2 linked regions of the Neurospora crassa OR74A genome follow. The protein of the gene in region 1 binds, or shares a complex with, the protein of each later gene. Links are inferred from orthologs where the notes say so. Each region holds a gene or a part of one and is shown on either strand. Other genes may lie near its edges.

The links.
Region 2: the proteins of NCU02587 (region 1) and prk-3 are in contact, whole or in part, in a cryo-EM structure (PDB 6XI8), measured with the Saccharomyces cerevisiae proteins. The link is inferred for Neurospora crassa OR74A from reciprocal best matches to the Saccharomyces cerevisiae genes TFB3 and KIN28. Residues at the interface, in NP_010748.3 of Saccharomyces cerevisiae: Phe260, Asn261, Gly262, Asp263, Glu265, Ala266, His267, Ile282, Leu285, Lys289, Glu290, Phe291, Ile292, Ala293, Ser294, Gly295, Phe296, Asn297, Tyr300, Glu303, Arg304, Thr307, Glu308; in NP_010175.1 of Saccharomyces cerevisiae: Leu111, Arg115, Tyr118, Arg122, Phe124, Ile154, Pro155, Ala156, Pro157, His158, Ala179, His181, Tyr182, Thr183, Ser184, Trp229, Glu231, Ser234, Phe235, Pro275, Gln276, Val282, Leu285, Phe290, Lys291.

What each region holds. Positions count from the first base shown.
Region 1 is NC_026501.1:2,825,055-2,828,823, forward strand, and holds NCU02587 (RNA polymerase II transcription factor B subunit 3), read right to left. Parts: upstream 2,251-3,769; coding exon 1,162-2,250; 3' UTR 640-1,161; downstream 1-639. Other genes in the region: NCU02588 (nuclear movement protein nudC, variant 1), read left to right, coding at 3,144-3,156, 3,251-3,462, 3,588-3,769. UniProt on the Saccharomyces cerevisiae protein: Acts as a component of the general transcription and DNA repair factor IIH (TFIIH or factor B), which is essential for both basal and activated transcription, and is involved in nucleotide excision repair (NER) of damaged DNA.
Region 2 is NC_026505.1:1,999,100-2,003,252, forward strand, and holds prk-3 (serine/threonine-protein kinase), read right to left. Parts: upstream 2,513-4,153; 5' UTR 2,014-2,512; coding exon 1,818-2,013; intron 1,744-1,817; coding exon 716-1,743; 3' UTR 510-715; downstream 1-509. Other genes in the region: NCU03658 (secretion pathway protein Sls2/Rcy1), read left to right, coding at 1-279; NCU03660 (FK506 suppressor Sfk1), read left to right, coding at 3,493-3,519, 3,615-4,153. UniProt on the Saccharomyces cerevisiae protein: Catalytic component of the TFIIK complex (KIN28-CCL1 dimer) which is the protein kinase component of transcription factor IIH (TFIIH) and phosphorylates the C-terminal domain of RNA polymerase II during transition from transcription to elongation after preinitiation complex (PIC) formation, thereby positively regulating transcription.

The sequences.
Region 1 (3,769 bases):
AAGGGCTATACGGCCAAGCGTATGTCGTTGACAGGCACACTGCCCCGCATTTCTGTCATTCTCTTGTCTTCCTTATGGCTTGTCTGGTTTGTTCGGGATGACACGAACCGGCAAGTCACGCATCTAGCGCGGCGTTCCTTTTGCTTTTTGTTTTATTTTCTTTTATTTTGTATTTTTTGAGCTCAGCTCTTTTTTCTCACCCGCCTTCGTTATTCGATTCGGCAATCCTGATCTTTCGGTATTGTTGCCGCGAGTCTTCTGACGGTGCCCCTCCTTAGTCTACCGAAAGGACAGCCAATGTTCGGGTAAGCAGGGCGGTTTGATGCTCGTACCTTCGAAATGGGTGGCAATAAGGCAGTCAAGGATTGACTGTGAAGAGATCAGGCTTTTTTTTCCGCCGTCGAGTGCTTCTTAACGAGCAGGGCCAGATACAAGGCTTAGCAGCGCAGCGCAAGGGGGAGGGGGGAAGAATAGTTGGAATGGAACGCTACATAAAAACGGTGGAATGGGGTCCGGGCATCTCGAGATAAAGGAGTGAAAGAGGTATGGTATGATAAATGGTCATACCATCAAAACTTTCAGGATTGGCTGCCAACACTCTCTCCAGGAATGGCCAGCAAGGGAGGCATACACATTTTTGCAGTAGGGAAGCCTGGAGGCTCTTTTTGTTTGGTAAATCTTAATCTATATATTTTTTTGGGCATTTTTGTGATCAATCGACGCACTCTTATTAGTCTGAATTTCTTTTTCTTCTTCTTTTCTCCATCATCATCGTCGTCCCAATCCCTCACACAAAACGTGGTCTTCAGTGACCTTGATACTCCTTACAAGTAGACAGATGGCTTGATGGGTGGCAAAGAGTAGTGAATGTACTGCAGTTCGCCAAGTTCTGTCTTATGTGGCTGCTGGACTGCGACCATTCGCATAATGAATTTCGAACCCAGAAATCCACAGCAGACCCGAATATTTGCGCCCTCTAAAACCACCGAGTCTGAAGTTGATCTATATGATGCTGGTCCCGCCTCATGTGTGTTCCTAAATCCAGATCCGTCGGAGAGGAAAAAGAAAAATATTCAATCGCTGAGTGAACGCCGTCGCTATGCAACAAAAACACCATTACCGCCAACCAAAAGGCCGGGGCATACCGGTCCAGAACCACTCTCAGTCCAAATCCATCTTATCCGCGTCAACCACAGCGGCGATCCCCGCCGCCATGCTCGTCTCTTGTGACAGCCCAATACCACTGCCGACCTCCTTCTCATCCTCAACAAACACACCCAACCCAGCAAACGCTTCATACAAGGCGCGCGCCGCAAAGTCGTCAAAGCTGTACCCACCAGCAACGTGCTGTCTGTCCAACCGGTACTTCTCCATAAGCGGGTGACTCAAGCCTCCATGTAGCTTGTACCGACTAGGCGCGAAGTCCATGCCTCCAAAGGGGTCGTACGGGCCCTGTGGCGCCGGCGCCTTCGGCTTCTCCTTCAAGCCGCGGATGGACAAACGCTCAACCTCCGACGCGCCCGTGCCCATTCCCGTTGTTGCGATGGCAGGGTTGGAAGCTGTTTCAGCAACCCGATTCACCTGCCCACGCCTCTTTAGCTGTACCTTCGTCGCCGGCTCCGCTGTCATAGCAGTGGTTCCCTTGGCCAGGTTATCCAGCTCCATTTCGCGACTCCTCACCCTCTCTCTTTTCTCCGCCTCCGCCTCCTTGATAGCCTCAATCCTCCTCTGCCTGACAGCATCCCTTTCGGCTGCCAGCCTCACTCTTGAAATCTCATCCGCCTCCCTCCCCGCCTTCTTATTCCGTTCAATATCCGCCCTATGCTCCGCCTCCCATGCCTGCAATTGCGCCTCCGCCTGCCGTCTCCTCTCATCCGTCCCATTGACAAGTTCAAACGTCAAATCTTCCACCATCTGCAAGTAATTATTATAATCCTGGAGCGTCTCAAAGTCGTCCTCGACTTGGTTGAACACCGCCGCCACGCGACGGCGGATGTCGACCTCGCGCTCGACGGCCAAGTCGCCGAAAAAAGCCGAGCGGAAGCCCTTGCGACGGAGCGTTTTGTTGCAGCCGGCGTGCGGACATTGATTGGGTCCGTCGTTGAAGAGTCGGTTGGCACAGTTGAGACACATGGAGTGGTAGCATTCGGGGTTGAAGACGAAGACGATGTCGGGGTTGAGGTACTTGCGCGATTTGCAGACGGGGCACATTTCGTCTTCGAAGCCGAGGGGGTCGAGAGGGCGCGCCATGGTGGGTGGTTTCTTTTTTTTTTGGGGGGGGGGGGGGGGGGGGGGGGGTTGTTTTGATAATTTCGCTTCGAGGAGACGGGGATCGATGTGCTGAAGTGGGATTTCCAAAGGTTAAATGATGGCCAAGAGAAATGTATGCTGAATTATAGCGAGGAGTGGGCGTTTCCCTTCGAAGGGACAGTAGTCCGTATCTGAGAACTCGGGACGTCTCTTGATGTGTCGGTGAGTGAGTGGCGATCGCGGCCCAAATCTTCTTTTATATCTGTTTGGTGATCGTGATTTGGCGACGAGGACTTGTACTCGTCTTGTTAGGTGATGAAATGTTGTTCTAAAATGCCAGCTCGGCTAGGCAGAAATTCCGGGTCACGCAGTCATGTATCAACGGTGGATAGGGAAGGTGATGAAAATCAACCAAGTGGAAGTCTGGGTGAAACCCGAGTGAGATTGACGATGTGGTGAAAGAGGGACTGATAAGAGTTATTATGCTTGGGCTGAATAATCCTTGTTTCCACTTGGCCCCCAACCGCGCCAGCGCTCCAATGGACGCTACCCTGGCGGTGCAGGGTGGGGCTTCCCAGATCATTCACAGCACGGCACTCTGCCGCGCTCATCTGGCAGCTCTGTCTCAGGGGACTGGACGCGGGCAAGCGTGGGGTGAGCAGGGGCTACCAGGGCAGTGACAGCAGCCGCTCGCGGGCAGCTCCTAGGATTGGGATTGGGCGGCCGCAGCCGTTCCATGCGGGTTACCTGCCCCTCCAGAAATTCGGTCATCGCGTTCAGGCGCGTTCCATCGTCTTCTACTTACATTACCGCACATTGCACCACTGCACCACTGCACCAAGCTGCCGTCGTTGCCCAATATCTACACCGAATTCAACAATACCACCTTCAACATGGCTGACAAAGGTGCGTTTTAGAGCTCAACTCCTCTTGCTCCCAAGACCAGAAAGTCCATCCGCCATCAACAGGTCCCACTAGTCAACTGACCAAACAATGTCAGACGTAACAGAGCTCACCCCCGCCGAGGAGGCCGCTGCCCGCGCCAAGGAACAAGCCGAGCAGGAGGCTCTCCCCTACAAGTGGACTCAGACGATTGGCGACGTCGACATCACCATCCTCGTCCCTGGTAACCTAAAGGGCAAAGATATGGTGGTTGAGATAAAGAAGCAGTCTCTTACGGCTGGTATTAAGGGTCAAGAGCCCGTCATCAAGGTAACCAACCTACTTGCCCACATATCTACAAATCACAACCCTTGCAACTTTCCAACGCCGCCTATACCATACCACCCAATGTCGCATGCCGAGTAGCTCGATTCTGACACCTCCCACAAAACCAGGGCGACCTCCCCCACCCGATCCTCCTCGACGATTCAACTTGGACGCTGTCCCCCGCTCCCGCCGGTCAAAAAGCCCTGGAGATCCATCTCGAAAAGCACAACAAGCTCGAGTGGTGGCCGCACGTAGTCACCAGCGCCCCGAAAATCGACGTGAGCAAGATCGTCCCCGAGAACAGCAAGCT
Region 2 (4,153 bases), on another chromosome or scaffold:
ATTGCCGACGTGAATCTCTACTACGAGTACATCCGCACCTTGAAAAACCAAGACCTGCTAGCATATTTCAAAGCGCTGAGGGAGTTGAGTCAGATTTACCTGATTGATGCTAAGCATCATGCCAAAGAAATGGCGACCATTATTGCGGATAACGAGCGGTTTAGTGGCGTGTTTAGAGCCGAGGAGGTGTACGAGTATGCGGAACGAAGGGCGGATTGGTATAATGTGAGGAAGGAGGTGGAGAGGGCTATGTATGGGCTGGAGTGTTTGGTAATGTGAGGTTGTAGGGAGGGACCATCGAAGGGTGTTCCTTGGTAATAGGAGAAAGAGTGTGGAGGAAGAAGATTTAACGAATAGCGAGCATCTTTACTTTTTTTTGGATTAAAGAGCATGATAAAAATAAAAGTACCTAGAGAAAATAGGATATGAGGGTTATATCAATCAATGACAAAGCATCACATACACATTTTCCGCTTTACGAGCTACATGTCAGGAGACTCTCCCGTAGATGTGATTCAAAACCGATTTGATGTCTATGGACTGATGATATGTGTGATGCGCCCAAACGCCTTTCTCTTGCTCTATATTGTCAATGCCGTGCATGCATACTGTATGTGACCTTTCCAACCCAGTGTATCCGTTTCATAAGTAGATCATGCCTTCTCCAGAAATGCTTGTCATCATACTTCAGTTGTAACCCTCGTCCATAGCCTCCTCACCTCGCGGTGCCAAAGTCCAACTTCCTAGCGACCTTGGAGCCGCGCACATCGTCGTCCTCCACCATACCATTCCGTCTCTTCAAATCCGCCGCCAACTTCTCCTCGGCCCCTGCCGTCTTCTTCGGCAGGTCATGCTTAGGCGTCGGCTTGGGATCTGCCTTCCACCACCTATGCTCCAGCATCTCCCTCGCCGTGATACGCCTCCTTGGATCCAAAACCAGCGTCTTGGTCAACAGATCCACGCCATCGGACCCGACTGCGCCAAACCGACCCATGTACTTGTCCTTGCCCGCCACGGGCACCACGTCGCTGGGAACCGTATACTCCTTCAGCTGCGTAACACCAGGCCAGTTCTCCTCCGTCGGCGTGCCGATTTCCCTGCAGATCAAGGCGATCTGTTCAACCTCCGAGTTACCAGGCAGGTAAGGGGCACGAATGATGAGCTCGGCAAACACCAGACCCACCGACCAAATGTCCACGGCACCCGAATAGTGGCGGGCGCCGAACAGCAGCTCGGGAGGACGGTACCATCTGGTGATCACGTTCGCCGTCATTCGCACGCCGGGGTCGGCAAAGCTCCGTGCTAGACCAAAATCCGCCAGTTTGACTTCGCCGTCGGCGGCGATCAGCAAGTTGTTGGGCTTGATATCGCGGTGCAGCACGTAATTGTCGTGACACCACCAGATGGCGCGAGTCAGCATGCCCATCCAGGCTTTGATGTCGGCGGCGCCGTAGCGGACGTGGTCAACGTCGCGGATGAGCATCTCGAGGTCGCCGAGGGGAAGGTATTCAAGGACGAGGTTGAGGTTCTGGTCCTTGGATGAAAAGACGGAATGTAAGATGATGATGTTGGCGTGGCCCCGAAGCTTTTGCAGGTACTTCATTTCGCGGATGGCGTCGGGCGCGATGCCATCTTGGTATTCCTTTTGGACTTTGATCTTTTTGATGGCGACTTGTGTTGAGGAGTCGAGACGGGAGTGGCCGAGGTAGACGTTGGCGTAGGTACCTTCACCGAGTTTCTTGCCTGTTGCGCACGATAATATGTGTTAGTTCGATAAACTCCCACTGGAAGAGTTGGTATGACCGAGTACAACGCACCCTTGATGTATTTGTTCTTCTCGTCTTCGTTCATCTGTTCCATCAGATCCATAGTCGGGCGGGCTAAGGCGGCGATCTGCTGGCCCCGGGCCGACCGTGGAAGTCCCCCGCTTGGGGTGCCGCCGCTGGATGGCGGAAGGGATTTCGGTGGCTGGAGCGCATCGGTCGGACGCGCAACAAGAGGGGAGTTCGCCATGTTGCTGGCTGGTTCTCTCGGGTGCTTCAACCCTCGGGCGGACGGTGTAAAGTGATGCCAAAACAGTCGATTACCTACTTAGTCCAGAGATCGCGGGGAAAAGACGGGCTCGATGGGAAGAGAAGGTCGGGCGTCAACGGCAGATCAACGACCGGTGGCTGTTCAGTTGTTGTTTTGTTATTGTTGTTGATGGTGTTGGGCAGCTTCGTAGAGGCAGCGTTGCATAGACGGAGTTAAGATAAGGACGGAGGATAAGGGAAGAGAGAGTGGGATTAAGCTTTGGCAGATGGATGCGCTGTGATGGATGGAGTTCGGTGGAAGGGCCCTGTCAACCAGTGGAGGCCCGGATCCCCGTATGTCTTGTGGGTCCGCTGCTGCCCGCTGGTGTTTGGAGACTAGAGCGATTTCCATTTTTGTTTCTCAGTCATCCCGACATATATAAAAAGACATCTGTCTTTGAGGGTAGAAGGTATCAAAACATCCGCAGTGTTTCTTCACATATCAACTTGGATATCTTATCATGATATATATGCATATCACCATCAAGGGAACCTCTGCCGCGGTGCCGCGCGACGGATGCCCTGCCCAGCCCAGCCCGCCGATGACACCGTCACACCGTCAAACTCGTTTAGGTAAGCACTAACAAGCAAAGACCCCTGTAGCCGTAAGGATAGACCAGCAAGAGACACGCTAAACCCCGAAAGTCTCAGTGCTCCACAGGGATGAGCAGGCGCCTGGACCCTGACGTCACTTCTCACCCAACCAAAGTGGCAGTGTGAAGGCTTCTTCCTCCTCGTGGACGGGCGTCGACATCAGTCCGCGCGCCGGGCACAAGCCGGAGATCATCCGTTGGGCTAGGATTAGAAAAAAATAAAGAACAATGATGAAAACGAAACCCATGCCATGGCAGAGACAAGGAAGTAATCCGCGAGAGTAAGCATCATAGCGTGTCTAGATTACAATAGACTCCAGAAACATAACTCCGGGATAACCCTTTAAGGTCCCCCTTGTGCGCAGTCCATCTCATCTCGTCCTACTTACTCCCCTTTTGACTTTCTTTTTTCCTTGTGTCAATCCAGAACTTCTTGTAGTTTGTTGTTAACGAACTTCCACTCGACCTTGGACACGCAAGCAACAAAGCGTGGTACATACATACCTAGCACCCAAACAGTCGACTGTGGCTGCCGAGACAACCGAGCTTCCAACATTCTTTAAGCTTCCATTGTCAGCATCTCAACCCTTGGGTATTCTTTACTACGACTACGATTTTCAGGTCTCTTAGTTACGACCATATACACTTCGTAACGACGGGACGTGCTTCGTCCAAACTCCTACACGCTCGTTCCTTGTTCCTGCATCTCTGCTCGTGCATCTACACCTAGTGTACTAGCGAAGCTGCGGGCGCACAGAACCCGTGTTACATCATATTCTGTACACCAAACCACCTAGACATCAGACAGAATAACAAACTCAGTCAAGATGTTGCGAGGGATACTATCATATTGGGTAAACCTTCACCTTCACCCCCCATCCATCCTTTCCTTCTTCCCATTCTCATTCCCATTCCCCCAAGCTAAGCTAACACAATGCCCCTTTTCCAGATTTTTCCAATAATCTCCGGCGTAGTCTGGCTCGGCACCCTCCTCGGCCTGCTCATCTACTGGTGCACCGACGAAAACCGACGTCACTATGCCTCCATGGACGCGCGGCAAACCATAGCCTACATCTCCGACGTTGGCGCCTCCACCTTGAAGCCCCTCTTCATCGCCGGCTGTTCCGTAACCACCGTCTTCCTGGACCTCTCCTTCGGCGCCGACCGCTGGCTCCGCCACAAGGGCCGCCTGGTGCCCAACACCACCGTGACGGAAAAGGTTCTTTCGGGCATAACCATTGTGTTTGCCATCGTCGGCACCTGCGGCCTGATCCTGCTGAGCATCTTTGACACGGCGCGATACCCCCGGCTGCACGATATTTTCCTGCTGCTGTTCATTGCCGGGTACGTCATCAGTGCCATCTTCATCTGCTGGGAGTACCAGCGCCTGGGCATGCGGTATCGCGAGCACCGCGTCCTGCGCATCTCGTTCTGGGTCAAGCTTGCCTTTGTCGTTGTCGAGATCATCCTGGCCGTCGCGTTTGCCAG